2 linked regions of the Stegostoma tigrinum genome follow. The protein of the gene in region 1 binds, or shares a complex with, the protein of each later gene. Links are inferred from orthologs where the notes say so. Each region holds a gene or a part of one and is shown on either strand. Other genes may lie near its edges. The genes, in order: stx12 and vti1a.

Region 1 (10,747 bases):
TAGTAATTAAATAGTGAAATGAATTAGGCCATTTGCTGAAGCATCAATTTCACTTACAAAAAGTCAAAGCTGTACAGCACAGAAACAGACCCTTTGGTCCAACTCATCCATGCCAAACAGATATCCTAAATTAATCTAGTTCCATTTGCCAGCATTTGACATATACCTCCAAATCCCTCTAATCATATACCCATCCAAATACCTTTTAAATGTTGTCATTGTACCAGTCTCCACCACTTCCTGTCATTGCTCATTCCATACATGCACGACCCAGTGTGAAAAAGTTGCCCCTCAGGTCCATTTTGAACCTTTCGCCTCTCACCTTAAAACTTATGTCCTCTAGTTCTGGACTCCCCCACCCTGTGGGGAACACCGACTATTCACCCTGTTCATGATTTTATAAAATTCTACAAGATCATCCTCAGCCTCTGACCGTCCAGGAAAATTACTTCCAGCCTATTCAGCCTCTTCCTTTTAAATCTTTTCTGAACCCTTTCAAGTTTCACAACATTCTTCCTATAGGAGGGAGACCAGAATTGAACATATTATTCCAATATTTGTATGTAAAAATAGTGTTAAAAATGTGAATGCTGTGAAAGGTGCAATGAAGTTTCTTTTCAAAATCCGAGATGGAGACTATCACTGGCTATTGACTCCTGGTTGTCTACTCTAGATTTAGTCCTCTTGCAGACTTCATTTCTAGTTAGTTTCCCATTCCACCTATTATTTTTTCAGATTAAAACAAAGTGGAAAGGCCAAACAGTAACAAGTGATTCAGTTAGAACGGTTATCTTAGGATACCTATAGTGTGAAAGGAGGCCATTCAGCCCATCAAGTCCACACCCCTCCTCCAAAGAAAACCCCACACAGACCAACCCCCTACCCTATCCCTGTAACCCTGCATTTCCCATGGCTAATTCACCTCATCTGTAAAGACCTGGGCATTATGGGCAATTTAGCATGGCTAATCCACCTAACCTGCACTGTGGAAGAAAACCCATGCAAAGAGGGGGAAGGGGGTGGTGGTGGAGGCGGAGAGAACTTGCAAACTGCACACAGTAGCCCGAGGGTAGGATTGAACCTAGCTCCCTGGTGCCGAGACAGCAATGCTAACCACTGAACCACCACAGGTTATTATACAGGAGACTGCCAGTTAGCCACTTTGGGCAGCGTTGGAACTCTGGCACAGCAATTTTAGCTAGTCGCAATTCCTTGCCCTGTGGCCACCACAAACCCATCACTATGGTAAAATTGTCTCAGATTCCCTTTTCCTACTTTTAAACCAAGGAGCAAATGGCAACATGCTTGGAATGCACAAGTGCTACAATTCCAAAGGTGTATAGATAATTCAGAACAAATATTAATTGTTCCAACTGACAGCACGATATTCTGTTGTGTCGCCATAATACCTTTAAAAGATGGAACTTCGCGTGAAAAATTCAGCTGGTAACTCTCTACAGCAGTATACTTATGTAGTCACTTGTGAACAAAGTGAAAGTTCAATCTAAATGTGAACAGGACAACTTGGCAATTTGCTGCTACCAGGGCACATCTGTCAGATCTACGCTCAGTCTGCTTTACTTCCCTGACTGAAATGCTTTTCAATCCGTTGTAATGTGAAATTAAGAAAAGAATAATCACAGTTCAATTCACAACCTGTGCCAAATTAGCCAATCTCAATGAAAACAGTGGTTCATAAAGGAGATAATCAATCTAAATTCTCATTCCAAATCATTAACTAATGAAGTTCACTGTTAAATGTACACATCAAGGATGACAGAACAGGTGTCAGCTGTATATCTGAATCAAAACGATAAAGCAGAAGGCACTTTCAGGAAGGAAGGGAAATATAGGAAGAAAAGTCTTTATATTAAATGTTTGTGGTGTATTCATAAATACAGGATCTGGCAATCTACTTATGAATTCAGAGACCAGGAATGTGATCATTAACAACTTTGAAAATAAAACGATTGCAGCTATGTTTACCTAACAGTTCACACAGCATGACATATTGAAATACAGGAACAGTCCACTGACTTCAGTGTGATGTTCTTTCAACTCACTAGCGACAGCAGATTGTTTTCAGGCAATGCAACAGCCACATTCCTAAAAAAGAGGTAACTGCAGTAGTAACTGAAATAGTGCCATATTCTGGAGAATATGAATGATACAAAGGTATCTTTCCTGTTCTAATTATAACAGCTCATTTATAATTGCTCAAATGTGCTCTAATCTGGCTCACTAGTAGCAATGACAAGTATATTACATGTGTTGTTAACAGGATGAGTTTGGAGGCCAGTGGAAAACAGCCTTTTCTCATTCATGACTAATCATAAAAAATTAGTCAGTTAAGGATGATTCACCTTTCAAAAATGAGACAACTTGTTAAGAGACTAATAATAGAAGAGGTCTAGTTTGAATTAAATTTTATTGAAGACATTAAAAAAGGCCTTCTTAATACCACTATGAGTATGGCTACACCCAGAGATTCCAGAAGCAACCTAGCACTCTGATATAAGAAGGTGTAGAGCTGGATGAATACAGCAGAGGAGCAGGAAGGCTGACGTTTTGGGCCTAGACCATTCTAGGCCCGAAACATCTGCTTTCCTGTTCCTCTGATGTTGCCTGGCCTGCTGTGTTCATCCAGCTTTACACCTTGTTACCTTAAATTTTCCAGTATCTGCTGTTCCTACTATCTCTCGCACTCTTTCTACAGAGCAATTAGGGATGGACAACAAATGCTAGCCCAGCCAGTAGCACCCTGACTCTAAAATTTTTTGAAAATATAAAATACAACTTAACACCTAGGTCATTTAGCCACACCACAAATACATCCAAGTGGGCTGTCAGGGTTGAGGTGGTGCAATATCACATTTGAAAGAAGTCAAAATACTGGAAACAAAGTCCACAGTAACTGTCAAAGTTAAACGGTCATGCTTCAATAGAGCTAGTTCAACATCAATATTTGCCACATTTATAGGTATTAACAGCTTAGTTAGGGCCAATTATATTTTTTGCTGAGGCTGTGCTTGCTTGGATTAGACTGGCTACCATAATTCTCCAATTTGCCTTTTAAACATTCAGTAGTCAGACTGAATGGTCACAGACTCCCACCCAGAAACAGTGAATTATGCAAGCTTCAAAATGCCATCCTTGTGGGCAAGACAGCTCAATCCTGTATCCTACAGAACATCTTCACAAACTCATTAAAATTAACTTCTTTTATAACCACTTCATCAAGATTCCAAACAATGCCTCAGAGTCCAAACCTGAGTAGCACTTAGGTGTTACCTCTGCCCTTGAACTCTAAACAGTCATCCCCAACTCTGAATTCAAAATCAAAAATAGAAATTGCTGGAGAAATAGTTCTGAAGGATAACTAGACCCAAAACATTAACACTGTTTTCTCTCCACAGAGGCTGTCGTACATGCACATGTTTCCAGCAATGTCTGTTTGTGTTTCAGAGCTCCAGGATTTTCGGTTCTTTGTTTTAAGAAAAAAATAAGTATTGAAACCCTCGTCTCATTGACAGGTCCCTTCATGGCCACCGCCCACCATCCTCCATTGGAGTCCCTCCGCTTGCCCATACAATCCACCACACTCAACACTTCAATTTGGCCCTGGTGCTTCCTTTGGCTCCGTAAAGCAGTCAGGTTCGAACAGGTTATAAAGGGCGTTGGCTGCCTTTAAGTCGCCTTCACTCACGTTCGAGCATCGGCCCGGGCCAGGGCCAGGGCCAGGGCCAATAACAGCTGGGTAGCCCAGGGAGCTGCAAAATAATGTACCCCAACCGCCCCAGTGCGCAGGCGCCAGGTCACCTATCTCTATAGATACACTATTTGGCCCCGGTCAAAAAGTGTTGTCGACAACGGAAGAGTAAATAACACACACCTCCACCCAAGGCTGCCTGCTTTATCCGAGAGTTTCCTACCGCAGCGTATACCTTAACCAAAGGAGCGCCGCTCCCGACACCCACCGAAAGCCCCGACAAAATCACGTGAGCTTAACGTCACGGACGTGGTCACGCCCACTCGTGCGGGATGATGTCACCAGGAATCTGTCAATCACACCTTGGAGGCCATTCAGCCCATCCACACCACAGAAAGAGAGTGAGCCAGCGAGAACTCCAGATGCTGGGGTCAGAGACAATAAATATGTTATAAACCAGTCCTGATGAAGAGTCTAGGCCCGAAACGTCGACTCTCCTGCTCCATTGTGCTGCCTGACCTGTTGTGTTCGTCCAGCTCCACACTGTGTCGACTCCAGGAAGGAAGCTGGCTTCTGCTTTCACTTTCCCATGCTCTTGTCTGCAGGTAATCGTACCAGGACAGTCAGCTTGGATCACAAGCGCAAATTGCAGGAGAAACTGGGCTGGTCTGGAAGCATCTGCACGGAGAGAAACAAGTGTTAACGTTTCCAGTCCCGTGACCCTTCATCAGCACTCAACTCAGATTAGAGATAACAAAGTATGGAGCTGGATGAACGGAGCAGGAAAGCTGACGTTTCGGGCCTAGACCCTTTCATCACGGATTCTTAAGCATCTGCAGCTCCTATTACCTCAACTCAGATTAGAATTTAGTTGTGATTAAGGGTCATTGGAGTCAGAACATTAACTGTTTTCTGTCTCCACAGATGTTACTAGACCTGCTAAGTTTCTCCAGCAATTTTTGTTTTTGTTTCAGATTTTCATCATCCACAGTTCGTTGTTTAATTTCAATTAGCTTGGACGGCTGGTTTGTGATGCAGAATGATACTAACAGTATGGGCTCAATTTCTGCCCCCAGTTGGGGTTACCAATGAAGGGCTGTCCTTGCCCTGAAGGAGGGTCACTGGACTTGAAACATTAACTCTGTTTTTCTCCGCACATGCTGCCAGACCTGAGTTTCTCCAGCAATTTCTGTTTTTGTTTCAGATATTCTACGTCTGCAGATCTTTGCTTCATATGACCATTGAGGCCCTTCTCAATCTCACCTCTTGCCTGAGGCATGGTGACCCTCAGGGTAAACCATCTCCAGTCATCTCCCTCTAATGACAATGCTGCTCCACAGTCAAGTAGGACTTTGGTGATTTACCATTTACGAGAACGCTTTGCTGTCACAATAAAATCAAAACATTGCAAATTTCAGAAACCTGAAACAAACACAGAAAATACTGGTGAAACTCAGCTGGTGTGACAGCAACTGCAGACAAACAGTATTGCTGTTTCAAGCCCAATATGACTAATTCTTCCGGGGTTGGAAAATGATGGTTTTTATGTTTGTGACAGAGCACATCTCCAGCTGCTCATCTGTAAACACACTATGACATTATGATCCCACATGCTGAGCTTGACCGCTCTTTTTGCTGCACTTCATTTGTCCTCCAGAACATCTGAACATACATGAATTAGGATCAGATGTCATTCATTTGGCACCTTGAGGTTGCCCCAACATATTCATTTATATGATGTGGATGTTACTAAATGGCCAGCATTTACTGTCTATCCCTAACTACTCTTGAGAAGGTGTCTTGAACCTCTACATTAAACTGGTGTAGGTATACACACAGTGCTACTAGGAAGGTAGTTTCAGGAGTCTGTTCCAATTAGAGTTAAAAAAAAGTGATATAGTTCCATGTGAGGATGACCTGTGACTTGGAGGGGAGCTTGTCGGGGATGGTGCCCCCTTGTATCTTTTGCCTTTATTCATCTAGTTGTTGGGGGTCTTGGATTTGGAAGGTGTTGTTGTAGAAGGCTTGGTGAGTTGATGCACTACTTCTTGCAGATGGTGTACATTGCTGCTACTGAGCATTGGTGGTGGAGTTTAAATGGCTGGTTGGAATATCAATCATGTGGGCTGTTTTATTTTTGGGTGGTGTCAAGCTTCTTCAATATTATTGGAGTTGGAATCACCTAGGTGAGTGAAAAATATCCCATTACACTCCTGACTTGCACCTTGCAGATTGTAGATAGGCTTTGGGATCAGCTACTGGTTACAGAACTCTCAATTTCTGACCTGATAACATATTTTTGGGGTTGTTCAGTTCAGTTTCTGGTCAGTGTTGACTTCCAGGATGTCAACAGTGGCAAAATCAATATTAGTAATGCCATTGTACATCAATGGGTAAAAGTTAGATTCTCTTGTTAGAGATAGTCATTGCCTTGTGTGGCACATAAGTTAATTTCAACTTATGAGCACAAATATGGATGATGTTCAGATCTTGGTGCATATGGTCATGGACTATTTTAGTTTCTGAGGAGTCATGACTGCCGCTGAACCTTATGTCATCATCACCAAACATCTCTATCTCTGACCTTATAATGGAAGGGAGGTCCCTATTGAAGCAACTGATAGTGGTTGGGACTGGAACACGACTCTAAGAGACTTCTGCAGCAATTTCTCAGGACTGTGATGATTCACTTCCATCAACCACAATAATTTTCTTTTGTATAAAATTTTATCACAGCTAATCTGACTGTGGCTGAAGTCAACTTTCCTGTTTACCCTGATAATCATTGACTCCTATTGTCAATCAAAAATCCACCTAACTCAGCCTCATTTTGTATTCATTTGTGGGATATGAGCATCACTGGCTGGCCAGCATTTCTTCCCCATCTGCAATTGCCCTTGAGAAGGTGGTAGTGAACTACTTTCTTGAAGGGCTACAGTCCCCTGGCGTGAGTTGACCCACAATGCCATTAGAGAAAGAATTCCAGGATCTTGACCCACTGACAGTAAAGGAATGGCAATATATTTCCAAATCAGGATGATGGGTGGCTTGGAAAGGAACTTGAAGAAGGTGGTGTTCCCATGTCTCTACTGCCTTTGTCCTTCTAGATAGAAGTGATCCTGGGTTTAGAAGGCACTGCCTGAGGATCTTTGGTGAATTTCTGCAGTGTATCTTGTAAATAGTACACACTACTGCTACTGAATGTCAGTGGTGGAGGAAGTGGATGTGGTGCCAATTAGGCAGGCAGCTTTGTCCTGGATGTTGTCAAGCTTCTTGCGTGTTATTGGAACTGCATGGATCCAGACAAGTGGAGACTATTCTATCACACACCTGACATGTGCCTTACAGATGATGGACAGTTTTTGGGGAGTCAGGAGTTACTCACTACAGTATTCTTTGCCTCTGACCTGCTTTAATAAGTCACCGTATTTATGTGCAAGTCCAACATGTTGATAGTGGGGTTTCAGTGATGGTAACACCATGCATGTGAAGGGCAATGGTTAGACGTCCCCATATTGGCAGTGGTCATTGTCTGGCATTTGTGTGGTGCAAATGTTATTTGCTAAGTGTCAGCCTAAAACTGGTTATTGTCCCGATCTTGTTGCATTTGAACTTAAAATGAATATTCAATGACTCTGCCTACACCACTTTATTGGGAAAAGATTTTCACAGACTAATGACCCTCTAAAAGAAAAGCTTCCCTGTCGTCATCATCTTAAACTATATCTTCTAATCTTTGTTTCTCCCCATAAGGGAAAACATCATCCACCCTGTCACGTTCCCTCAAGGAGAGATCCCTATTGTTTTCCAGCTCTGATCAACTGACAAAAATACCGACAATTTCCCTCCCTAAATGTCATTTTTTGGGGTTCTTTTTGACGTTACATTTTCAAGCACCCCTTTATTTGACTATAAATGGAATTTTAGGCACATATCCTCACATCCTCATTTCAAAGATCACTGTTTCCTTCCACAGATCTTTAAGTATTGTTTGAGTTTCTGATGCATACAGAAAGTTGGGTAAGAACTCTTAGTTTCTTTTCTTGCTCAAATTTTCTTATTTTTGGCTCCTTTTCCCATAGTCCTGCAATTTTTTTCTCATCAAAGGATTTATCCAATTCTGCTTTGTAGGTAGTCTTGGCTCTGTAAAGCCAGTCACTTTCTCCTTCCCAGCATTGCCAACCCTCTAAGATTTTCCTAGTTGTTGTGGGGGAGGATTAGATCTGCCAGAGATGGGATAGATAGGGGGCCTGTTAGCAGGAGCACAGCTATTGTAACTCAGAACTCCATGGCAGCTATCACTGCCATGGAATATGTAACCCATAAACTTCATCCTGTTACCCTATTTAGGAAAGCCCTGGGGAAATTAAAAATACGGATTTTTTTTTAAAAGAGAGTGCTATTCTTCAATAACTTGTCAAAATATTAATGATAAGTCTGATTGACTGGTTGGAGCAGTTAAAAACAGGTCACAAAATCTCTAATGACATGTAAAAGCCTACTCATTCTTTATCACAAAAATATTAACTAAAGTAAAAACATATACATCTGGACGGAGGGGTGCAGAAATATTAGAATTTTAGGTGTGAATTTTGAGAATTTGCTGCTTATTCAAACATGACCTGAGTTGCAAAACCGCAGACTCTCAACACCACAAAGATCACTTATTTCAACCTTTGCCTGTCTGGCTGTTCTGCAGCATGGCTAGGTTCCAGGTTATTACAATGAGACTAGGAGGGATAATTGACTCTGCTCTTTTCAACCTCCTTTTCAGCTGCAACAAATGCTTGAAATTATTTTGTAACCCAAGGCCATGTCTCTAATAAAATGTAGTTACCCAATGTCCACTGTATCAGTAGGAGGGCTAGGTTGGCTCAAGTGGCCGGATTGCTGGCTTGCACTGCAGTGGTGCCAACAGCGCAGGTCCAATTCTTACACCAGTTGAAGGTACCATGAAAATTCCACCTTCTCAACAACTCCCCTTGCTTAAAGCATTGCAACTCTTGGGTTAAACTCACCAGCAAGCAACTTTTTAATGAGCATACAGTCCTCTGGGACTGTGGTGACTTTACTGAGTCAGCAAGAAGGCACTTACTAGTCTTACTTGAGGAAAAGAAAGCAATCTTATTATCTGCTAAATTCAAGAAAAGTAATGAAAATGCAGCATAAATCTATTTATGGAATTGATAGGGGGCCTGTTAGCAGGAGCACAGCTATTGTAACTCAGAGCTCCATGGCAGCTATTTAGGTACACATAGGTACAAGGTGAAAGAAGGAACATGCAGTTTAAAATCCTGGTGTTCTTGAGGCGTATGGTTTTCACCATGGGTTGTATAATTAATTGCTTACATTCTCAGCAGTAGCCAATCTTTTAGTTGTTCTTTCTCAATGGTCAGATGCTTCTTTTTTAAATTAGTTGTGTGACCAGGCACTTTCCTTCTTGAGAGGCTGACAGCACTTTCTCCAGTTGATTCCAGTTGCAGTCAAAAATCTATCTCCCCTGCTTTGACAAAAACAGCTCTTTGGAGCACCTTTTGCATATTCTGTTTGTGGAAGTTTCTACAGGTCTGCTAATTGGAAGCAAGTTTCAATCTTCAACATGTGAAAAATTTGTGTAAACATGTAAATAAAAATAGAAGGTAAGGGTTTCTTTACGTCTGAGTTGACTGGTTTCAATAGCTTTTAAACAAACGTTAATTTTGGTTCCAGCAGTGTTGGTTTCATGATATTTGAAAATTGGCATGAAAGCAACTGCTATCTATTAAGAGTTAACAATCAACAGCTCTAAAGAGAAAATCACTTACCAAACAAACAAACCAAAACAAAAATCACTGGCTCTCACGGAATTCTCTAAGCTCTCAAAGTAAGCATCATCTAAATAAGGGTATAGTGGCACTCTTAGCTAATATTGCTGACACAAGAATTGTTTTATTTGGGATTAGTTAGTCGTTAAGTGAGAATTGTTTGATTTGTTAACAGTTTGATTGTGATTCATTCACTGTTAAGAGTTAGATAAATAAATTGTTCCTTGTTAAGTATGAAGTGCGTATCGGGAATTTCTTTCATTTAACCATTCCTTTATAACAGGTTGGGCGGTGCAAGGCAGTTTCACACTTCCTTTATCAGATTGAGGCCAGGCCTGCTTCTCTAGGTACGTCAGAAAGCAGGTCAACCTCTGCTTTGTAAAACTCTGTTGATTTACTACCTTGAATGCCCACACGATTTTGCTACTGATACGGTTGATGTTTTCTAATCTGAGTGTATTGCAATATCTTTGTCCACGAAATTGACACCTACCAAGTCACAAACTCATCTAATTTATGTAAATCAATCTGCAAACAGAATTATTGTGTTACTACAAGACACATACTTATGGCATATACAATTGAAAAAGGTGCTTCAGTTTAAGTTCCCTCTGTACCAATAATGGAAAACATGAACAGTAATTGGCCCAACACAGAGCTCTACAAAACTCTGCTCATAATCAGGCACCAATAGTTATCCAACACTCTGCAAGTAAAGCTTAGATTATGCATATCCTGCATTCAAAACAGAAACGATAAAAGAAAATCATGTTTATTTTAGTTTACAAAATAAATTCGTTTTTACAGGCTCATGAGTATGATAAAATCAGAATTTCGATAAAAGTACAACTGGAAAAATTAAAATGTCAACATTTGCGAGCAGAACTTAGTGACTTTAAATAGGCATTCAATGACTTTACTTCTAACAAATAATTTCCCAATGTATTGTGCCCCTTCATTAACTTACAGAACTGGAGCCCCACTGCATACTTTGTAACTCAGTAATACTTTTGAATGGTGCAACTATGACATTCAAACTATGCTGAAAAAAGAACACCTGGAACTGAGACAGTGAGGGATACAGCAGCAGAATTAGTGGCATTTTAAAAACAAGTTTTACATACTCTCTTCACTGTAATCATTAAACTCTAGCCAGGGTAATTTAACTTTCTTTCCAAGTAAAAATGCAGTCTGCCAAATGCATTTCTGAAAATCAGAAACAAATGAAACCCTG
Region 2 (10,806 bases), on another chromosome or scaffold:
TGAAACAGGAAGCACATCCCACAGTGATCTGATTAAAACATACAATATCCTGAGAGAGGTCTCGATAGGACGCATGTGAAAAGGATGTTTCTTCTTGTGGGACAATTTAGAATTACGGGTCATTGGTTCAATGCGAGCAGTGCCAATGATCAACCATTTAAAACACAAATAAGAAGAAATATTTTGTCAGAGTACTGAGTCTTTAGAACTTCATTCCACAAAAGGCTGTGGAAGCAAATTTCTTTGGTATTTTTAAGACAGAGATACATAGATTCTTGGCAAACAAGTTGTGACAAGTAAATGTTTACCAGGGGTACATGGACTAATCAGATTGCCTTTATCTTATTGAATGTTGGAGCTAGATTTAGCGACCGAGTGGCCACTCCTGTTCCCAATTCATAGGTATGCACATATGTTTTAATGGAACTACAGAGCTTTAAAATGATGCCAATGAATTGCAATAAAATTTAAACACAAAATGTAAAAGTTACTGAAAGCATTTCAGTGCGATTCAATTCTTGAACCCATTACATGAATTAGTGAATATTACAGTGGATGTAACAATTATAATCTAGTTGCATACATTTATCTTCTAACTATAAGCAATGCAATTTGGTTAAATTGGGAAGGGTTAAAGTTTACTAAACTGTATCAGTCTGAATGGAAAATAGCTGCAAATACACTACAGTCAGTCGATATCTAAACAGACAAGTTAATTTAGACAAGGTATTTGCGCGTAAAGTATTAAATAGTGATAACAAGGTGTGGAGCTAGGTGAACACAATAGGCCAGGCAGCATCAGAGGAGCAGGAAAGCTGACGTTTCGGGTGCGAACCTTTATCTCAGACTCCAGCATCAGCAGTTCCTACTATCTCTATCAAATAGTGACTTATCTTTTCAGATGCTGACAATATGTGCCGTACTTCTTTGATATTGCAGATTGTAGCTGGAGTTTTTCTATTTTTATATTTAGTGTGAATGCATCATACCTCATCTTGGAGGTGACAAATGCCATCTGCCACTGGGTGTAAAATTGATCTTTACCATCACAAAGCCCACAAACAAACCTTGCGTTACCTGATTATGTTAATTCTGAACTCTTTATAAGAACCTCTAAGAAAAAGAACAAAAGTAGAAACAGCAACAAGAATGTTTTCAACAAAAGGACTGAAATAGCTCTCTTGTTGGAAGATGTTCCTTAATTTCAAAATATTGCCAAGCTGTATAAAACAAGATCTTACATTTGTGTTTTTCTGTGTAAACTAGTCCAACCATACCTGTTACATTTACGACAATGATGGGACCGTGGTGCCTTGTAACCTTGACAGATTCTGCAGTCCTGAAGATACATTGTATCCTGAGGGTTGTCCTTGAACAGAACAAGTAGCTAATTACAACAATCATAGTTGATTTCAGTATAAGAATATAGAAACTGATTACATGCAAAGAGGATGAATGGTTCAGTTATTGTGTCTGTGTCTGTGAAAGAGAGTGAGGACAGTGCGAGAGAAGGTGCTGTTTGCTTTGTGTTACTAATTGCCTGCATCATCAGAAATGTTATCTTACATAACAAAGTTACATGTCAAAGTAGGACAAACATACATAGCATTCTCAGTAGATTTACTAACAGATTTCAGTTACTGCAACAGATGATTGAGGATGGTGTGGATTAGGAACCAGGCGACCTACATAAGCAATGTAGCTCAGTGTGGTATAAGTTCAGATCCAAATGAGATAAGGAGACACTTGCGAAGAAATAATAGACCAGTTGGTCTAATATCTGTTCAGACTTTTACACATTTGTTTCAGCAAGCCCCTTAGGCATTGTATTTGTTCTAAGTGGTGGCTCAGTAGTTAGCACCGCAGCCTCGCAGCACCTGGGGCCTGGGTTTGATCCCCATCTCGGGTGACTGTCTGCTTGTGTGGAGTTTGTACGCTCCCTCTGAGTCTGTGTGGGTTTCCTCCAGGTGCTCCAGGACCTGTCCACAGTCCAAAGATGTCCAAGTTAGGTGATTGGCCACGCTAAATTGCTCATAGTGTCCTGGGGTGTGTATGTTAGGTGCATTAGCTACAGGAAATGCAGGGTTACAGGGATAAGGTAGGGGAGTGGGTCTGGGTGGGATGCTCTTCAAAGTGTTGGAGTGGACTTGTTGGGCCAAATGGCCTGTTTCCACATTATGGGGATTCTACGATTGTAAGAGAAGACAAAAACATCATGATAGATGAATTGCAGAAATATTAATGCAAAAATAAAGCAGAGATAGGAAAACAAAAGTGGCACACAACATTGGAGCAAATTACTGCAGATGCTGGTATCTGTACGGAAAACAAAAAATGCTGGAGATCACAGTGAGTTCGGTAGCAACTGTGGAGACAGCAAGCTAATGTTTCGAGTCTTCAACAAACTTGAAGTGAAGTATGGAAGGGCAGCATTTATGCAATGCCTTGTTTGGGGAGGGGGAGGGCAGAGGTTGCTGGTGTGCGGGAGGAGAAAGGACATGGATAGTTCAAATTAAGCGATAGGAACGCCAGAATGGCAGAACAATGGTGTGTCTAACTGCTAGAGTGGAAAGAACGGACAGTCCCACTGGAGTGGGGGAGGGGAGAGATTTTCTACTCCGAGTTTATCCTGTGAATTATATTTAAACAAGTACATCTGTTCCCCCTTCTGCTGCGTTTTCAGAGATGGTGTTACAATAAAAAAAGTTTACAAAATTTCTTTTTATTCCCAGAGAACTTAGTATGGAACTCTCGGAGCTAATGGTTTATTACTCTATTTTTGGGAGTGAAATATCTTACTTTTGATGCTTTATGTCAGCTTCAGAATTTCCGGTTTGTGGGCTCCAGCTGCCTTGTCACTATGGATATGCAATCCTTTTATGTGTCCATCCTCCATCAGGATAGACTCAGGGCTCTCCACCACTCATTCTAGGAGAAAAGGCCTGAATTGTCCCCATCTACCACCACAACCCTCCTCCATCTGCTGAGCTCGTCCTCACTTTGAACAACTTCTGCTGTCAATCCTTCCACTTTCCTCAGGTCCAAGGGATGGCCACTTCTACCTGCATGTGCACATTTCTTGTTCCTATTCCACTGGCATGCACCTACAACTCTTTTTCCAGTATATTAATATCAGTGCTGCTTTCCTTTGCCATCCAGAATTGGAAAAACTAACCAATTTTGCTTCCAAGTTCTACTCTGCTCTCACCTTCACCTAGCCCATCTTTCCATGACATCTGTTTTCATTTCTTGGGACAGGCTGGCCATCAACATCCACTACAAACCCACTGACTCCCATGATAACCTCAACTACACACCCTCACTCTGCTTCTTGTCGGCTCTCTTCCATTCCCCCACTTCCTGCAACTTCATCACATCTTTCCTGATGATGCCAACTTTGACAAGGAGCCCTTTGATACATTTATCTTCTTCCTCAACCAATGACTTCTCGAGCACTGTGATTGACAGGGCCCTCAGCAGGGTCCAACCCATTCCTATACTTCAGCCCCAAGTGCATCTTCCCTCCCATTGGAGTGCAAGGGTCCCCCCCGTCTTGTCCTCACCTATTGTCCTACCGATGTCTACATCCCAAAGGATCATCAGCCGCATTTCCGCCACCTCCAGCAGGATGCCAACACCAGAGACACAATTCCCTCAATCTCCTTGCCAGCCTTTTGCAGGGACTGTTCCCTCAGAGACATCTTAGTTCAGTCCTCCCATGCTCCCAATATCTCCCCCGACTCCTACAGTACCTTTGCTTGCAATCGCAGGAGGGGTAACAGTTGGTCATTTACTGCCTCCCTCCTCAGTATCCCCACACACCTCCCAGGCGAAGCAGTACTTCACTCATTCTAGTCTATTGTATTCGCTGCTCACAACATGGTCTCCTCTACACTGGGGAGGGGAAGTGTAGAATGGATGACTGCTTTGCAGAATACCTACATTCTGTCGACAAAAATGGCTTAGAGCTTCCAATTGTCTGCCATTTCGACACACTATCTTCACAGCCCAACATTTCTGTCTCAGGTTTCCTACAATGCTTGAGCAAAGTTCAGCATGAACTGAAAGAGTACCACCTCATTTTCTGCTTGGGAACTCTGCAACCTTCTGGATACAATATATTGTTCAATAACGTTTAGGGTCTTAGCACCTTATTCCATCTTCTTTCCTCAACCCCACACACCGGGCTGTCATGTAGAATCCTACCCCACACAACCTAAAGTCAATCACTAATGGATCCCATTAGCAGGTACAGATTCTTCCAGGATGACCTGTACCCACATTTCTTTGCCTGCCCAACTGTTTTTCCTCTCTATATAGGCTCCATTTCTACCTATTCTTTAGGCTTTTTCCCCTAACCCAATCTCCTTTCTAGCACAAATATCAAATTTTTCCTACTTTCAATCAGTTCTGAAGAAGGTTTACTGAAACTGAAACATTAACTCTGCTTTCTCTCCACAGATGCTGCCAGGCCTGCTGAATTTTTCCAACAATTTCTGGTATTGTTCATCTTTCCCCTTTTTGGTGTTTCTCCACAACATATTGAGTAGCTTGTTGGCCAATTGTGAAATACTGCTGTGGTTGCCTGTCTCCTTTGCAACCTTGGGGAAGCTCTGTTCAAACCCCAAGACACTGAACTGAGTACAAGGGGGATTGAGCCACATGAGGCAACCTGCTGGTCTCAGCTGGGATACAGCAAATTAATTAGGAGGTTATGTCACTGAACATTTCACAGGGCTGTCACTGCAGAGAACTTGCTTTGCAAAAATATTTGAAACTGCTATCTAAGTTATTGGTTGTGATTAGTGAGCAGTTGGCCACAAACAGTAAAACTTGACAGACTGGGAACTAAATATGAAAAATCAGGACAAGTTTACTAATTCTTCAGTCAAAAATTGTCAGACTAGGCAGAAAATCAATGTGTTATCACCAAGATGGGCAAGTTTGCAATATAGTAGCAAGCTTAGATGACTCATGTGTTAAATGGCTGTAATGATTGCTAGGAGCATCAAACAGCAAAGACTTACCACTCAAAACGTATGTTCAAAGAACCCTGATCTCTACTCTCATCTAATTTAATCACCATTATATCAGACACACAACCAAAGAGTTAGCGTTACATGTGTTGTAGAAATCTTGTAATAGTTATCTCCTTTCAGCTCTTTACAGCCATTGTAAATTTAACATTTGACAAGAAAAAAAAATTAGGGAGAAAGAGCAAACATCATCTTACCGGTTTCCATCCAATTGGAACATAGCCAGGACCAACAAACATTGCATTAAAGTAGTTGTAAAGTATAAGAACTGTCCAGTTTATCAATAAAATGAAATTTATGCTTCCACCAGGAGTGTCAAGAGGCCAATACCAAAGTACTGAGTCTATAATGGCCATGGAGGAACATATTGTAATAACTGACAGGGCTATAATTGGACCCCAGTGACAAATTCTTTTCAATTCATGTAAATTTTCAAATTTTATAAATGAACACATTGTCTTTGATTGAAGACAGCAATACTCTTCAGTTAACATGCAGCAACCATCATAATGCACACAGTTACACTTAATGGAAGTAAGAGTCAGGCAATGAATAATTCTTGCATCCAGAAAAAAAGCAGGGATCACTTTTGATTGATAAATAGGGAGAGTTTTGAACAAATTCTGTGAACCGCAACTTTCACCTCCAGTAAATTCCCCATGATATTACTTTAGATGCAGTGCTTCTGTATGAGCTTGAAGCTTCTCATGCGGTGTCCTCAAAAAGATATCCTAGTGGGATATAAAAAGAGTGAAGTATGTTTAGAGCTGAAGTAAAAAAAACACAACTCCACCCTTATAATCAAGACCTTGATTCAGTCAATTACTTACGGGGATAGAGAAGAAAACACAGATTCTGGCTGCTTGCGGCTGGAGCTGGCCTGAGGAGTAACCAGAGGCCTGGATGTCAGAGAGTCAGAGAAACGGGAGCAGCCAAACGTTAGCTCGACTGCCATCCATGTCCCCAAAACCGCCACACAGCTTCCTCCTTCCGTCTGGCTGCATTCGTGCCCCGGAAGCATATTGTGTCTTTGATAACTCCAGGAGGAGGGCGGTTCCTGGAGATTAAACATGATCAGACAGAGGGGGTTAACCGGGCGGGTGTTCAAGGTGCGAAGCCCTGGCCGGTATCCCTATCAACCCGAGATGGAGGAAGGGAGGGCGGACTGGGCCGGTGACAGGCCGGATACCCGCAAGTGGAAGTCACCGATTTAAAATATGACGGCAGCGTGTTAATTCCAATCCTGGAGCTAATTTCCCTCTCGGGGGAGGGGGGGGGGTGCGGAATAGTTTAAAAGTTTTATTTCTTCTTTCCCTTCAGCCACCAACCGTCACCGTAAACCCGCCACTTCCGCCGGTGCCACCCACAACCGCCTCCCCCGCCATGGCTCACATTTTTATAAATAATAAAACAAAACTTATCGGGGAGAAGACTTTCTCTTGATTTTCACTCGCGACCACTCCGGTCGAAACTTCTTCAGCCCCTTTCCATCTATAAGTGTTTAAAGACAGCAGACTTTCCGATCTGTCTCTCTCTCTCTCTACCAAATGCTGGGCAGTTGGTGGGGGAAGGACTTTCCGGGCGGCACAGCGAGCGAGTAGAGGAAGCGGCCGCTGCTCCTACTTTAAACTCTTCGACCGCTGTCAGTCTCACAGAAAATGTCCTCGGATTTCGAGGTTTACGAGCAGGATTTCGGCACCTTGACAGCAGAGATCACCAATAAAGTGGGGAGGATACCGAAACTGTCAGGAGGTAGGGAGGCTGTTCTGCTGGAAAACACTTTTCGTGTTTGATCGGTGTTGAGGAGACAGAGCTGAAGGATGACTGAACCTCGTCGTCCAGGGATTGGTTTCGCATTCTGATGATGTCTTAAATGCGATATTAAAAAGAAACGAATTTTACAGTTCGAAGCCTTTTTATGTAGAAACAGAAGTAGGTGTTGAGCGATCGGAAGGCAAGGTTGATTTGAGAGCAACGGTGTTAATTATTCATAAGCAATTAGAGTTGAACGAACTGCATTGAAGTGGGTTGTATTTACACAGTCAGAGTGTGTTGACACGCACCCTATCATCTAGACAGAACATCACAGTAAGACCGAAACTTCTACTCGCTCAGCATTCGTACATGGCTACTTTTGAGTAGAAAATGCAGGCTAACAGTCAGAAATGTTAATCTGGTTTATTTTACCCCACTCCTTAACCTGTCGTTTCTGAGGACATTTTTTTAGAATCTGAAACAAAAGCAGAAAGTGTTGAAGAAATTCAACAGGTCCAGGAACATCTGTGGAGGCAGAACATTTGTTGTTGCAAATCTAATGTCTCTTTGGATCTTTGGTTGAAATTACAGATCTGCATTTTTAAAAGGAGGCTTGGGCTTTCTCCCTGTGGGTGTCCTAATTGCTTGCTCAGAACGACATATTAGTATCAGGACATGGATGAGGGTTGGGAGAGGGCGGTGACATTTCAGGGTAGGCATGTGGGTAAGTGACTTCTATGATAAAGGCCCCATCCCCTGTTGAAATTAAGGATCAATTATTTTCTTCAGAAGAAAATATCTAAACTGAATTTGGTTTTACTTGGGAAGAGATAGTTAAGCATGGATGTGATGTATTTGTTTACTTTAATTGAAATGCATGTCTAATCTGATTACAGATGTTAGAACGCTGAAGTGTAAACAAAATGTAGAAAGTACTCAGCAAGTCATGTAGTATCTGTGAAGAGAGTAAACGTTTTGAGGTGTGTATGACAGGATAATATGTATTTATACTTTTTATTTAATTAGTTTCAAGCAAAGGCAAATACGAATGAATGATTTTATTATCACATCTGGGAAGATATAGGGGAAAGTGTTTCATTGTCACAACTTGGTGATATTTTGAGCTGCAAAAAGAATAAAAAGAAATTACTGAAATAGAGTTCATCTTCTGTTCAAATTGGGTCTCAAGCATGGCACCATGGTTTCTGCAAGATGTTCTGAGCCCCATGAGACCCTGCTCTGGATACAGCAATGCCAGTGCTCCAGGAGACCTTAGCTCCACTGCTGCCATCACCTCGTTGACACAGCAAAGAGTCCCTGCTCCGGACACAGCTAAGAGTCCAGGCTCTGGGATTACCGCAGCTAGGGGTCCTTGCTCTGGGCCTTTCGTCATCAGGTGTCTCTGCTCTGGACACTGCTGTTGCTGCCAAAAATCTCAATCCATGCTGCAGCTACCCCTCCTATTAACACCACTCTGACCTCAAAGATGAAGGGGAAAAAGAAAAAGGAAAAAGAAATGAAAAGGAGAGGGGGAGAGAAGCATGCCGCCAGTCTGGAGACTGACTGAGGAGCCCGACCACCTACCTACTCTGCCGATGCCGCTATCTTGAGTCTATTTTAGATATTTAATTATCTTAAACATTAGAATATCAGCATTTTCCCCCAGAGTTTAGTGAAAATGAAGCAGAGTAGTTTTCCTGGAAATAAGTTAACATTATCTTGTTCACTTCCTTTAAACATATTTAATAAATATCTACTTAATTAAGTCGAGACACGTGATCAGGTAAACAACAGGTTCTGCTGTGTCTATAACACATTGCTGAATTTAACTTATTAAAGATTCCCAAAGTTGCGTTCATGTTCTGGAGTGTTGCTAATTTAACGTGAGACCTTAACATGCCTTTCCCAGGAGATTGAGAAGTTTGATTTGGTGAGGTAAACCTGATAGCGCAGAACAGGCCCTTTGGCCCTTGATGTTGCACCAACCTGTGAACTAATCTAAGCCCATCCCCCTACACTATCCCATCATCATCCATATCCTTATCCAAGACTGTTTAAATGCCCCTAGTGTGGCTGAGTTAACTACATTGGCAGGCAGGGCGTTCCACACCCATACCACTCTCTGAGTAAAGAACCTGCCTCTGACATCTGTCTTAAATCTATCACCCCTCAATTTGCTGCTATGCCCCCTCATACAAGCCAACGTCATCATCCAAGGAAAAAGACTCACTGTCCACTCTATCTAATCCTCTGATCATCTTGATTGTCTCTATTAAATCCCCTCTTAGCCTCCTTCTCTCCAATGAGAACAGACCCAAGGCCCTCAGCCTTTCTTCATAAGGCCTTCGGTCCAGACCAGGCAACATCCTGGTAAATCTCCTCTGCACCTTTTCCAATGCTTCCACATCCTTCCTGTAATGGAGCGACCAGAACTGTACGCAATATTCCAAGTGAGGCCGCACTAGCGTTTTGTACAGTTACAGCATGACATCACGGCTCCGGAACTCAATCCCTCTTCCAATAAAAACTAACACACCGTATGCCTTCTTAGCAGCACTATCAACCTGGGTGGCAGCTTTCAGAGACCTATGTATATGGACACCAAGATCCCTCTGCACATCCACACTACCAAGAATCTTTCCATTGACTCGGTATTCTGCCTTCCTATTATTCTTCCCAAAGTGAATCACCTCACATTTATTTGCATTGAACTCCATTTGCCACCTTTCAGCCCAATTCTGCAGGTTATCCAAGTCAGCCTGCAATCTGCAACATTCTTTCACACTGTCCACCAGTCCACCGACTTTAGTGTCATCTGCAAACTTATTAATCCAGTTTACGAACCCTTATGACCCATTCACTTTGCATATTTTTATAGTCCTGAATGCGGCAAAGAAACTCCTTTATTTTGACCATAGCGTGAAGCAAAATTTAAGAATTTTACATTTACTGTTCAGTTATTATTTAGCAGTGAGATCCCTTTACCCATCATATCTAATGCATTTAGAGTCATATGGTCATAGGGATATACAGCACAGAAACAGACTCTTCAGTCCACTTGTCCATGCTAACCAGATATCCTAAATAAATCTAGCCCCATTTGCCAGCATTTGGCTCATATCCCTCTAAAGCCTTATTATTTATATACTCATCCAGATGCCTTTTAAATGTTGTACCAGTGCCCACCACTTCCTTTGGAAGCTGATTCCTCACACGCACCACCCTCTCTGTGAAAAAGTTGCCCCTTAGATCCCTTTTAAATCCAAACATGTGCAGTTTAGGTGAATTGGCCATGCTAAACTGCCCATAGGGATGTGTAGCTTAGGTGGGCTATAGGGGGATGAGTCTGGCTGGGATGCTCTGAGGTTCGGTGTGGACTTGTTGGGCCGAAGGGCCCGTTTCCACACTAGGGATTCTATGAAATCTTTCCCCTCTCACCTTAAGCCCATGCCCTCTAATTTTGGACTCCTCCACCTCAGGAAAGACCTTGCCTATTTACCTTATCTGTGCTTCTGTGATTTTTATAAACCTCAATAGGGTCACCCCTCAGCCTCCAATGCCCTAGGGAAATAGCCCTAATCGATTCAGCCTCTCCCTTAGTTCCAACCCTTGAATTCTGGAAGCATCCTTGTAAATCTTCTATTTTGTCTTTAACAGGTAGCTTGGAACAGCAGAAAGCTCTTTAGAAGGAGAAGACTTGGCTATTTTCTCTATTCCTAGAAATGACAAGACTCACTTTTGTCTTCTCTTTCCATTGTTCTAATGCTTACATCTGCTGGAATTTTGGCTGTTGCTATCACCGACATATTATGTCAACATGCATCAGTCTTTCGCATAACGTTTTGCTTTCTGAAGGGACTGCTCCCTCTGGGGTACTCCTATTTATCATCTTGCTGTTTGGAACTGATGCTTTGCAAAGCAGTGGCTGTTTATTTACCTCATTATCCATGGCTGAAGGTGCAATCTTTTGTGAGACAGAAATGTATTTATTTGGCATAATTTACTACATGAAATT

Evidence for each region.
Region 2: the proteins of stx12 (region 1) and vti1a are in contact, whole or in part, in a crystal structure (PDB 2NPS), measured with the Rattus norvegicus proteins. The link is inferred for Stegostoma tigrinum from reciprocal best matches to the Homo sapiens genes STX12 and VTI1A. Residues at the interface, in NP_075228.2 of Rattus norvegicus: Glu185, Ile188, Gln189, Leu191, Glu192, Ile195, Leu196, Val198, Asn199, Phe202, Lys203, Leu205, Ala206, Ile209, His210, Gly213, Ile216, Asp217, Glu220, Val223, Glu224, Ser226, Glu227, Val230, Glu231, Ala233, Ser234, Asp235, Leu237, Gln238; in XP_038945999.1 of Rattus norvegicus: Arg131, Arg134, Ser135, Arg138, Leu139, Ala141, Gly142, Ile145, Ala146, Glu148, Thr149, Ile152, Gly153, Met156, Asn159, Leu160, Asp163, Arg166, Arg169, Ala170, Arg173, Leu174, Glu176, Thr177, Asn180, Leu181, Lys183, Ser184, Ile187, Leu188.

What each region holds. Positions count from the first base shown.
Region 1 is NC_081377.1:38,844,705-38,855,451, forward strand, and holds the start of stx12 (syntaxin-12), read right to left. Parts: upstream 4,086-10,747; 5' UTR 3,978-4,085; exon of another isoform or gene 3,893-3,977; intron 3,731-3,892; exon of another isoform or gene 3,707-3,730; intron 1-3,706. UniProt on the Homo sapiens protein: SNARE promoting fusion of transport vesicles with target membranes. Together with SNARE STX6, promotes movement of vesicles from endosomes to the cell membrane, and may therefore function in the endocytic recycling pathway.
Region 2 is NC_081373.1:25,208,885-25,219,690, reverse strand, and holds the start of vti1a (vesicle transport through interaction with t-SNAREs homolog 1A), read left to right. Parts: upstream 1-6,369; 5' UTR 6,370-6,694; coding exon 6,695-6,788; intron 6,789-10,806. Other genes in the region: palmitoyltransferase ZDHHC6, read right to left, coding at 1,278-1,369, 5,234-5,530. UniProt on the Homo sapiens protein: V-SNARE that mediates vesicle transport pathways through interactions with t-SNAREs on the target membrane. These interactions are proposed to mediate aspects of the specificity of vesicle trafficking and to promote fusion of the lipid bilayers.